Drosophila melanogaster: one gene and its partner. The protein of the gene in region 1 purifies or fractionates together with the protein of each later gene. This does not show direct contact. Each region holds a gene or a part of one and is shown on either strand. Other genes may lie near its edges. The genes, in order: kz and CG12301.

The links.
Region 2: the proteins of kz (region 1) and CG12301 purify together in Drosophila melanogaster (affinity purification with mass spectrometry, with the first as the bait; one large-scale study listed by BioGRID). This does not show direct contact.

Annotation. Positions count from the first base shown.
Region 1 is NC_004354.4:2,237,089-2,243,947, reverse strand, and holds kz (kurz), read left to right. Parts: upstream 1-1,912; 5' UTR 1,913-2,045; coding exon 2,046-2,120; intron 2,121-2,188; coding exon 2,189-2,380; intron 2,381-2,441; coding exon 2,442-5,449; intron 5,450-5,511; coding exon 5,512-5,714; intron 5,715-5,774; coding exon 5,775-5,875; 3' UTR 5,876-6,090; downstream 6,091-6,859. Other genes in the region: fs(1)K10 (female sterile (1) K10), read right to left, coding at 344-1,639.
Region 2 is NT_037436.4:15,578,741-15,583,919, reverse strand, and holds CG12301 (uncharacterized protein), read right to left. Parts: upstream 3,121-5,179; 5' UTR 3,031-3,120; coding exon 2,626-3,030; intron 2,567-2,625; coding exon 656-2,566; 3' UTR 547-655; downstream 1-546. Other genes in the region: AIMP2 (aaRS-interacting multifunctional protein 2), read right to left, coding at 39-185; mrn (marionette), read left to right, coding at 3,414-3,712, 3,768-4,968.

The DNA of each region.
Region 1 (6,859 bases):
CCAATAGTTTCTCTTTTGCGGATATATATCAGTGCCAAGGGAACAACCGAAGGTGAAAATAGATATGACAACAACCTTCCGCAGGACTGCAGGATAATGCGAGAGAGTGCATCAGGTTGAGACTTACTTTTTCACTTTCTCTGCTCTCTTATTTTTTTCCTACCGCCCGGCAAACGCAACAAAGAGGGACGGGTGGGGGTTACGGATCAAATCAGGGGTGCAAAGTGATTCCGGATTAAGCCGAAACTGTACCCGGAATCGGTGTGCCTCCCTGAATAGAGCTTCGGATGGGACACCTGTTCCAAGGGAATAAGGATATGTTGGGGGGTCTCTATATGCTCACCTTGGCCTTGACAGTGGCTGCCTCCTGCTTGAGATACTCTTCCCGCGCCGCTTCGTAGAGACTAACGAACTTGTCCCGCTGGCCCTTGTACTGAGCGAAGAGCTCGTCGTCTTTGTGGCCCTTCAATCTGTTCTCGATGTCCACCTTCTTGTCGTGCTCGCTGCGTATCTCGTCCGTTACCCAGGGCTTTTCGATGGGATACTGATTGATCAGGTTCTTTAGTGTCTTTATGCTGCTCTTGCCTTTCACCACCTGCTTGATTAGCTTGGGATTGGGCTTCATTATCCGGCCGCCATTCATGTTCATTGGTCCATAAGGTCCGACCGGTGGAATTCCCCGCGGCGGCATCCGTGGACCCATCATGTGCATGGGCGGTGGGACACCCATCATAGGACCTGGACCGGGTCCGTTGCGACGCATAAAGAGCGGTGGCGGCGGCGGTGGTGGTCCACCCATGGGGCCCATGGGTCCGGGACCGCGCATACCAGGCACCGGTGGCGGGAAAGGCATTTGCGGGTAAGGTCCTCCAGGGCCCATCGGTCCGGGTCCCCGTGGTCCGGGGCCCATCGGACCCATTGGCGGACCCATCATGAGGCGTGGAGGAGGACGGTTCGGAGGCGGCCCGCGTTGGAATCCATTAAAGCCACCGCGAATCTGATTGGGATTGTTGCCCGGATGGCGCTGCCAATCGCTTCCGTTCATCTGATTGTTGAAGGGCTGCTGCGACTGGTTCATATGATTGTTGTTCTGGTTGTTCATCTTGCCCTGCTGCTGGTTCGGACTGAGATGCTGCTGCTGGTTCGAATTGGGATGCTGCTGCTGGTTCGGACTGGGATGCTGCTGCTGGTTCGGACTGGGATGCTGCTGCTGGTTCGGACTGGGAGGCTGCTGCTGGTTCGGACTGGGATGCTGCTGCTGTTTGATGCCCTTCATAGACTTCTTCTTGGGACTGCCTACCTGATTGTGTTTGAATCCTGGTGGCGGGCTGCTGAAGTCAATGTACAGGGGATCGCTCGGCATTTGGCTGGAGGAAAACATCATCTGATTGTTACCGTTGACCCTGTTACCATTCCCATTTCCTCCTGGTCCGGAGTTAATTTTGCCCGAACGAAACGGTTTTCTATACGGAGCCGCAGCTGCGCGGGGATTATTGTTGCAATTATTATTGTTGCTCTGGTTGTTGCGGTGCTGCAGATTTGGCTGCTGCTGTTGCTGAAACTGTTGCTGCATTTGGTGCGGGTGCTGCTGCTGCGACTGCATGGTCCAGTTCTGATAGAATTGGTTCTTGGACACCATTGCAGGTAGCTGGATTTCACTGAAAACGGGGGTTCAGGACTCGAGCAGAGGAGCCAAGCCGAAACGACAGGCGGGGAGCAGATGGATCTAAAATGTTGCACGCCTATTTGTCACAAAAACTTATATTGAAAATATTACGATGAATCGATTGCGATAACGTTTCGATACCAGTGCTGTCGAAGGAGTGTGAACAACTATAACAATCAGTTTTTCCCACTAATGTATGTTTCCACTAACACAAATGTAACATCACAGCACATTTTAGAGTATCTCAACTTTTGTTATCGCCTGCGCTGTTATCGATAAGCGTACTTCGCACGTGTGATTTAAATCAATGTTTATATTATTGCCCAAAGTTAATTCTGTTACTTTATTTTATTAACTATATTGGTAAAGTAAAGTAATCATGGGCAAGAAGGTGCACAATGCCAAGGCGCGGCAGAATCCACAAACAATTGTGGACAACTCGGCCGTGAAGAAGGTAGGTCATCCGTCGGACCACACACTCGAATCCGCTTTCTTACCCTTTCCAAATCCAATACTCTACAGATTCAGATCGATGTGGATGCTGTGGCCGGCGGCAACCAGGTTGGCTACGATGAGGCCAACGCTCTGGTTCTGCCCTCCGAGAAGCGGGCCACCAAGATTAAGGTGGACAAAGTGCAACACGTGAAGATCCTTTCCAAGAAGCAGCGCAAGCACCTCCAGGCTATTGTGGACAAGAAGAAAAAGAAAGAGGGTGTAGGTTTTTATTCAGTGCTAATATAAAACTGATATTTAATTGAAATCTTTTCTAATTTAGCGCGCTCAGCTGTTGGGTGACCTTGCTGCCGTTCAAATTCCGGAGGAGGAGCTGCAGCAGTATACTTCCATTAGCCAAGTGCAAACCGTGGGATTAAAGCGTCTACCCACCCTTGACGAGTATCTAGCCAAGAAAAAGGAAAGACAGGCCCAAGTTTTAGCTGAAAAAAGCTCGGCGTCGGGTCTCCGCGTAAATGCTATAAAGGGCTCCAAGCGCAAGCTTCTCGTCGAAGAGGAGGAGGAACTACAGGCCAAGCGAAAGAATCCGAATGTAATTAGCGTGGAGGAAGATGACGAAGATTCTTCATCCTCTGATGAGGACGATGAGGAGGCACCAGCTCAATCCGCTCCTATTGCCATACCCACTCCAGTGTCTATAGCTCCACCGCAAATCGCTGTTAAACCACCCATTAAAAAGTTGAAGCCAGAGCCTAACCCACCTGCCTGTATCCACCAGACTGTCTATGTGCCCGTACATCGGACAACAGAAGTTCAGAATGCCCGTCTTCGACTGCCTATCCTCGCGGAGGAGCAGCAGGTGATGGAGACAATCAACGAAAACCCCATTGTGATCGTGGCTGGTGAGACTGGCTCTGGAAAGACTACCCAGCTACCGCAGTTCCTGTACGAAGCGGGGTATGCCCAGCACAAGATGATTGGAGTGACGGAGCCGCGGCGAGTGGCTGCTATTGCCATGTCCAAGCGGGTGGCCCACGAGATGAACCTGCCGGAGAGCGAGGTGTCATACCTCATTCGCTTCGAGGGAAACGTAACACCAGCGACGCGCATTAAATTCATGACAGATGGTGTGTTGCTTAAGGAGATCGAAACTGACTTTCTGCTTAGTAAGTACTCAGTGATCATCCTGGACGAGGCGCACGAGCGCAGTGTTTACACAGACATCCTAGTGGGTCTCCTGTCAAGGATCGTGCCCTTGCGTCACAAACGCGGGCAGCCGCTGAAGCTGATCATTATGTCTGCCACTTTGCGGGTATCCGATTTTACAGAGAATACTCGCTTGTTTAAGATTCCGCCACCGTTGCTTAAAGTGGAGGCTCGACAATTTCCGGTGACTATTCACTTCCAGAAGCGCACACCTGATGACTATGTGGCGGAGGCTTACCGCAAGACCTTAAAAATCCATAATAAGCTTCCGGAAGGCGGCATACTAATTTTTGTGACGGGACAGCAGGAGGTCAACCAACTGGTGCGCAAGCTGCGACGTACGTTTCCGTATCATCATGCGCCAACCAAGGATGTCGCTAAAAATGGAAAGGTATCGGAGGAAGAAAAAGAGGAAACAATAGATGATGCGGCATCGACTGTGGAGGATCCCAAGGAGCTGGAGTTTGATATGAAACGAGTTATACGTAATATTCGTAAATCTAAGAAAAAGTTCTTGGCGCAAATGGCGTTACCCAAAATCAATTTGGACGACTACAAGCTCCCTGGTGATGATACGGAAGCAGACATGCACGAGCAGCCGGATGAGGATGATGAGCAGGAGGGACTAGAAGAGGATAACGACGATGAACTAGGCTTGGAGGATGAGTCGGGAATGGGATCTGGTCAAAGGCAACCTCTGTGGGTCCTGCCGCTCTACTCGCTCCTCTCCTCGGAGAAGCAAAACCGCATCTTCCTGCCCGTTCCCGATGGCTGCCGGCTATGCGTGGTTAGCACCAATGTGGCAGAGACATCTCTCACCATCCCGCACATCAAGTATGTTGTTGACTGTGGTCGCCAGAAGACGCGTCTTTACGACAAACTGACGGGTGTGAGTGCTTTTGTGGTAACCTACACGTCTAAGGCCTCGGCGGATCAGCGTGCTGGACGAGCGGGTCGCATCAGCGCCGGACATTGCTATCGCCTCTACTCGAGTGCCGTGTACAACGACTGCTTCGAGGACTTTTCCCAGCCGGATATCCAGAAAAAGCCCGTCGAGGACCTTATGCTGCAAATGCGCTGCATGGGCATCGATCGCGTGGTGCACTTTCCCTTTCCCTCACCACCGGATCAAGTGCAGCTGCAAGCCGCCGAGCGGCGATTGATCGTGCTAGGTGCCCTGGAGGTCGCCAAGACAGAGAATACAGATTTGCCACCAGCCGTTACTCGTTTGGGTCACGTTATCTCCCGCTTTCCCGTGGCGCCGCGCTTTGGAAAAATGCTGGCTCTGTCCCACCAGCAGAACCTACTGCCCTACACCGTCTGCCTGGTGGCCGCACTTTCAGTCCAGGAGGTGCTAATCGAAACGGGCGTTCAAAGGGATGAGGATGTGGCACCTGGCGCGAATCGGTTCCACCGCAAACGCCAAAGTTGGGCGGCCAGCGGCAACTATCAGTTGCTTGGAGATCCTATGGTCTTATTACGTGCCGTAGGAGCTGCAGAGTACGCCGGATCGCAGGGCCGCTTGCCAGAGTTTTGTGCTGCGAATGGATTGCGCCAGAAAGCGATGAGCGAGGTGCGAAAATTGCGCGTCCAGCTGACTAACGAGATTAACCTGAATGTTAGTGACGTTGAGCTGGGTGTGGACCCCGAACTGAAGCCTCCCACCGATGCCCAGGCGCGTTTCCTTCGCCAAATTCTATTGGCCGGCATGGGCGACCGGGTGGCTAGAAAGGTACCTCTGGCAGACATCGCCGACAAGGAAGAGCGGCGGCGATTAAAGTACGCATACAATTGTGCTGACATGGAGGAACCAGCGTTCCTGCACGTCTCATCCGTGTTGCGTCAAAAAGCACCCGAATGGGTAATCTATCAGGAGGCATACGAGCTGCAAAACGGCGACTCTACCAAGATGTTCATCCGCGGCATCACCGCCATTGAGCCGGAGTGGCTTCTTCTATACGTTCCCCTGCTCTGCAACATACGTGAGGTGCGCGAGGATCCTGCTCCCAGATTTGATAAAACATCAGGGAAGATCTTCTGTCACGTGGATGCCACGTTTGGCAAGTCGGGGTGGGAGCTGCCTCTCGGGGAAGTGGAGATGCCGCTCAGCGAAAAGGCCTGCTGGTGAGTGTCTTTTTAAAGGTTGGGTATTTAGATAAGTGATCATACTAATCATGTGGTTTCAGTTACTTCGGAATGTTTCTGCTGGATGGAGAGGTTTGCTCGAGGTTAGCAGACTTCCGGAGCAAACTAAAGTCCACACCCGCCTCCGTAATCAAGAGCTGGTCCAGTATGAACAACAAGGTATTGCGCTTTAAGCGCGCTCTAATTACCAAGCAGATCCATAACCGCCAGGCTCTGATCGACCAATGGAATAGCGATCCTCACTGTAAGTTTACCCCAGTCTCTCGAACCCTAATTTCTTTGCTAATCTTCCGTTTCTTCTTAGTCCTTTTGGAGGAGTATCAGAACCTGCTCTACGACGTGGCGCTTAGCGAACTGACGCCTTTATGGCCACCGGTGGACAAGAAAGAGCCACAACGCCAGTAAAAAAGCTAGATAAAAGGGGGTTTTTTTGTATAACAAGTTTCATTTATTATTTATTTAATTGATATATATTTATATAATTTTTATGTATAATATAAATATGAAATTTGTTTTAAATGGAACTAAAAAAATGGAGTGGAGTGAGGGGGAATAAAAATGTTTTGTTAACAGCTAGTTTCGATAAATGTTTAATACAATCCATATATGTACATAGAAATAATCAATATTCATTGTATTTTGTTTTTTGTTGTCTGTTGGTTTTGTCTCTTGGTAATTAATCGTAAGAAAATTTGTCTGCTCTTGGTGAGAAATTAGCATTTACACTTGTGTTAATGAGAGATTTGGCTAATTGGGCATGTGGCTATATAGTGTGTATACGCCTTGGTATATGGTATATACTCATCGAACGAACGGAACGATCGGATTCGGATAGGCCGACAACTGTAGCTTTGTTCGCTTAGCTTCGCTCTTCCCTATATGTACATGTAAATCGCTAGTTGGGATTGGGATTAGGACTCCGTTTGCTGCAACTCCTCCCCCCCCAGGCAATTGGCTGGGACTTCTCAAATGTCATCCACCATACGTCTACAAATGTGTGTAGAAAAAATCAGTCTAATATATTAAGGCAACGTGAGAGCTTTACATGTCGTCATTCCACTTGATCCTCGTCCTCATCCTCATCCTCTTAATCATCTAGGAATTGTGTGTAATATCTTAGTTTTGTAACTTGAATCCTGTCCGAAGTTCGCTTATCGCTTAGGCTTATGTAATGCGGGATTTGTTTCATTTGTGTACTCTTTAACAATCGAATTTGGTATGTTTTGTGTCTGTGTGTGGGGTTCATTAACTTTAACTTTAAACTAATTTCCGTTAAATATACATTTATAAATTCTTTAGGTTTGCTTAATATTTCTGTATTGGCTAGCGAGAGGAGAAAGAACAAAATAGGTAATGTTTGAGAAGCATTTGGTTTTCCGTTTCCATATT
Region 2 (5,179 bases), on another chromosome or scaffold:
CCCGACCAACTTCTCACTGGCCCGGCAAATAAACTTACGCATGATGATGTGGACGCGGATGTGGATGCGGATGTGGAGGAGCCGCTGGCCAAGGAATCCGCCGCCAGGCTAACGTTCTTGAGAGGATACATGCAGGTGGGCAGCTTTATGTCGAATTGCGGCAGCAGAGTCTTCAGTTCGTACATTTTCGCGGCGAGAATCGTTGGATAAACACAATAACCTGCGCAAATTATCAATTCCAAAATGTGCTTGCCGTCTGTGAGAAACTTTACAAAATACCAAATAATTTAAGGCAACGCTATCGCTATCGTTCCACTTAACACCATTAATCTGGTCACATTGCGTGCGGTAATGAAAGCTATTGAATTCAAATTTAAAATGTAGTTTTTATACATTTTATACTTCATCCAGAATATTCTGCTTGGTCAACTACTGTTGTGTCGTTATACCTTTAACGAAAATCAAACAAAACATTGTTTAACTCTTTTTAATTCAAGTTTTTTTTATAGAAATGTCTCAGTTATTAACAAAAATAAAAAACAATTTGAGAAAATAATGCAATTTATATAATAATTTCCCTTTCTATAGCTAAGTAAATTAGGAGACTGGCAATCGTTCATATTATTCAGATTTATTTTTAAAAATATTCCTAGTTCTATGCTATCTTGGCCTTGGGTGGCACTTTCGGTATGCGCTTTATCCTCCTGTCCACGATGTGGCGTAGACGCCTGTCCGGCTTGACCAGCTCGCTCTCTGTCATGGGCTCGATTACCTGGCCCTTGCGCGTGATTACTGCCGGACGGGTCAGCATGCGGAACGCCGTCTCCGGCACAAAGTTCCGGCCAACTGGAGCACGGATACTGGCTTCGTAGTCTGCCAGGGATCGGAAAGGAAATGGTATGCTGGAGACCATGTGCTGGCGCGCCTGCTTGCTGGCGGACTCGTTGAGGTAAAGATTATCCTTATTCTCGTCACGACGCTTTTCCGGAGCAGCCAACTTAAGAAGAAGCCGCTTGTTTCGTCGCTCCATTACCTCCTTCGAAATGCCAGCACCCGCCCAGGAACCCCATCCAGGCAGGGCGAGCTGAAGCTCAGTGTTCTTAAGCTCGGAGTCCTTGCTTTTGTCCCGATTAAAATCAGCTACAATGTCATCATCCTCGAAGGCTTGACTGATTGTCAACTGGCGTTCAGCAGCGGCGTCTTCCTCGTCGTATTCAGCTGCTTCATCGTCTATTAGAGCATCGTTAAAGCCTCCCGAGTTGCCCTTCTTTTGGGTAAACACCAAAGTTGTCACCTTGTTGGGATCTATGGTATCCACAGCTGGAATTTCCGTGCTTTCTGTGTTACCTTCAACGTGGGCAGGGATATTATTCTGTGAATTTTTATCCTCCTCGTAGTTAAGGGGCTCGTCAATCTCTATCTGTTGCTTTGTCTTTTTTAAAGCCAGACTTTTTAGGTTTTGCAAGACGTCCTTCTTTTTCGCCTTCTTTCCCTTGACAGGAACTTCTTTAAGTTTGTTTATCCGTTCCCTCAATTTCTCCATTTTCTTATTTAGTTTGGCTCTGATATGATCCTCGTGTTTCTCAAAAATGTCATCAATGGCTTTTGAATTCGGGCTTGCCTTGGCTTCTTTCTGATCAGTTGGGCAAATATCTTCCACCTCCCAGCCATTTTCTATCTTAACTTTCGATTTCTTAAGTTTCTTCTTAGCAGGTTTTACTTCTATTAATGGTTTCCGAATAGTTTCTTTCTCCTCCTGCTCGTCATTATCCTGGACTCCTTCCAAATCCCTACGATGCTCCTCCAGTAACTTTTCGTTTTTATTCCTTTTTGTCCAATATTGCCGCCAATTGGAACCCTCACTTTCACCATTTCCATTTTCCGTTTGCTCTGTAGCTTTTCTTTTTGTCCAAGGATTAAAGGGATCGTAGTCATTATCCTCCTCCTCGGGTAAAACTCTCTTCTTGGTGGTTTCATCTTCGCTGTCTGACACCTGCTTTTTCTGGGTCAGTTCCCTGCTAACAGCCAACTGCTCGGCCAGATCCTTTCGCACATCCTTGTCGTACTTGGCCCGTATCTGCAGATTCTTCGCCCAAGTACCGGTGTTCTTGTGCCGCAGGCTGGCACGCTCCTGCACTCGACTCTTTTCCAGGGCATTAAGCTTTTCCAGCGCCGCCTCTGGATCGGTTTTCTGCAGCAACTCGAACTCCTTCATCTGCTCCAACATTTTTTGTCTCTTCTGCAGCTTGTGGAACTTTTTCGATTTGATTTTGTTTTGCATGCGCGCCTTTGCTGACTTTTGAGACTCGCGCATCTTCAGGTAAGCTAGCTCCTTGCGACGGGCAAATAGTTCGTCCCTGGTAAGCTTCTTTTGTAGTAAAAGCCGCTCTTGCTTGGCCAGCTCCTTTTCATCCGTGGTATCCCCAATTTGCGCTTTGCGCAGTTCCCGTAGTTTACGGTTGTTAGCCTCGAGTTCTTGAGCAAGATTGGACTTGACCCGGGTGTTTAGAGGCCTGGCATTTGCCGCAGTATTTACGTAAACCGTTTCAGATGGTAGGGGGAAGATCTGTAATAAGTTTTGGAGATTATATGTGTATGTCACTGTTAGCATTGGCATTCATTCACCTGCGTCTCCGCAGATCTCTGTTGAGCCACCACAGCATCCCAACGACCGAGTTTCTTGGTAACTCCCTCGTAGCCAATGGTCCGTTTAATTCGATCCGCAGCTGGTTTCTCCAGCGGCTTCTGTAGCACCTTTTTGCTGCCATGGATGTTCTTGAGCTTCTTGCCCGTCTGACTGTGCTTGGTGGAGGTGCGTAGGATGTCTACCAGATCGTTCAGACCCACGGCTCTGGGGGCATGATCCGTTTCCGCTGACGAAACACCTTTTACCAGCTGGAACTCATCCTGGAGCGACTGCCGCTCGTCGCGCGTGGACTTCTGGATGTGCTGCACCTTGCCCAGACTGCCGATGGCCTGCAGCAGCTTCTTGTGTGCCTTTGGTTCGTAGTGCTCCTCGTCGTCACTCATTTTTGTCAGGAAAATATTTAAAATCAAATAACAATACAAAAATACTTCGCGCAGCACGTGTGCAGAATAACAGCTGAAGAGTTATCGATAAGTTTTGCGGCCCATCACAATTTCTACCTGTGCTCGATAGCATGAGTGTGGAAAATGGAGCTGCCTTCTTTTAAAAATTAACTTAAATATAATAACATTTACTACTCAATACATATATCTATGCATCAAAAATCAATTGATTTTTTTTTAACAATAAATGTACTTTTAACTCAGCGAAAACCCCCTTCGTAACGCCCTTGATGATTACTATCGATTGTCCCCCCACGAAAGACCGGCTATCGATGACAACGGGATGAAAATATTTTGTTTACGAATTCGACATTCGAATCGTCATGGCCGACACGAAATCCGGTAGTGGTCGGCATTCGGCTGCCGGGGGAAGTGGAAACGCCGTCCTGTCGCCCTTGGGGCAGGGTCCTGCGAACTTGGAGTGTAAGGACTTTCAGGAGTATCTGCGCACCCGCCAAACGCCAGAGTCGCTGGAGAAGCTGTACAACTATCCGCCCATTTGTTTGGCCGTTTTTCGGGAGCTTCCAGAGATAGCCCGGCAGTTTATCATAAGGATACTGTTCGTGGATCAGCCTGTGCCACAAGCGGTGGTCACATCATGGGGTGCCCAACGTTGTGCCAAGTATGACTGTATCCAATTGGATAAACAATATCATTGCAATGCATTACTTTTGCAGGGAGCAAGCCGAGGCAACCAGCTGCCTGACGGCTTTGAACGTCTGGCGGGTCACAGCCATTCCGGGTGGCCTTTCTGCGTGGGAGCTCTCGCCCACCTTCAAGAAAAGCGTACGCCAGGTGCTGCTGGGCGGCGGAAAACCTTGGCCTATGACCAACACGCTGGATAAGGACTCGAAGCCCAGGGACATTGCTTTTCTGGATACATACGCCATGTCCCGCTGGCGTTGCGTGTTGCACTACATGGTCGGCACCGGAAATCGCAATGGCACCGATGCGGAGGCCATTAGTCCGGACGCCGTTCGGATTCTGCTGCACGCCAATCTCATGAAACGTGATGAACGAGACGGTATCACAATAACCCGGCAGGGCTTTCAGTTCCTGCTGCTGGACACGCGAGCTCAGGTGTGGCATTTTATGCTACAGTACCTGGACACGTGCGAAGAAAGAGGAATCAGCCTGCCGGAATGCTTGTCCATGTTGTTCCAGCTCAGTTTTTCAACGCTGGGCAGGGATTACAGTTCCGAGGGCATGAACAGTCAGATGCTGACATTCCTGCAGCATCTACGGGAGTTTGGACTGGTCTTCCAACGTAAGCGTAAGGAGGGACGCTTCTATCCCACACGTTTGGCTCTGAATGTGACAAGCAAGGAGGCGGCTGCGACTGCATCTGTGGCCATGGATGAGGAGGCCACTCAGGACTGTGGCTACATTGTGGTGGAGACGAACTACCGAGTGTATGCCTACACTGATTCTCCGCTCCAGGTAGCCGTGTTAGGTCTGTTCACGGAGCTTCTCTACCGCTTTCCCAATCTCGTCGTGGGCGTGCTAACCCGCGATTCAGTGCGCCAGGCGTTGCGTGGCGGTATCACGGCAGAGCAGATTGTCTCGTATCTGGAGCAGTATGCGCATCCCAATATGCGCATGGTCGAGTCAGCCATTCACTCTAAATCCTGCCTGCCACCCACAGTCGTTGATCAAATTAAGCTGTGGGAATTAGAGCGAAATCGCTTCACCTACACCGAAGGCGTGCTGTACAATCAGTTCCTCTCGCATACAGATTTCGTAACGCTACGAGACTACGCCCAGTCGATCCACATGCTGGTGTGGCAAAATGAGCGAACTCGCACAATGGTGGTGCAAAAGAATGGCCACGACGATGTCAAGCGTTACTGGAAGAAGTACTCTAAGAGTGGTGTTTAGCCCGGTATTACGACCAATTATTGGGAAGTTATTTTAGAAGTAACATCTGTGCCCATTTTGTTACAAGCTAAAATTTTAAAATATGGTTTAATAAGGGAGTGTGGGATTACACATTTATCATCGACATTCAACATACAAGTGGAATAAAATTAAAATACACAAGTATCATACACATAAAAACAGAAAACCACCAAAGCTTTTCCTAGATTGT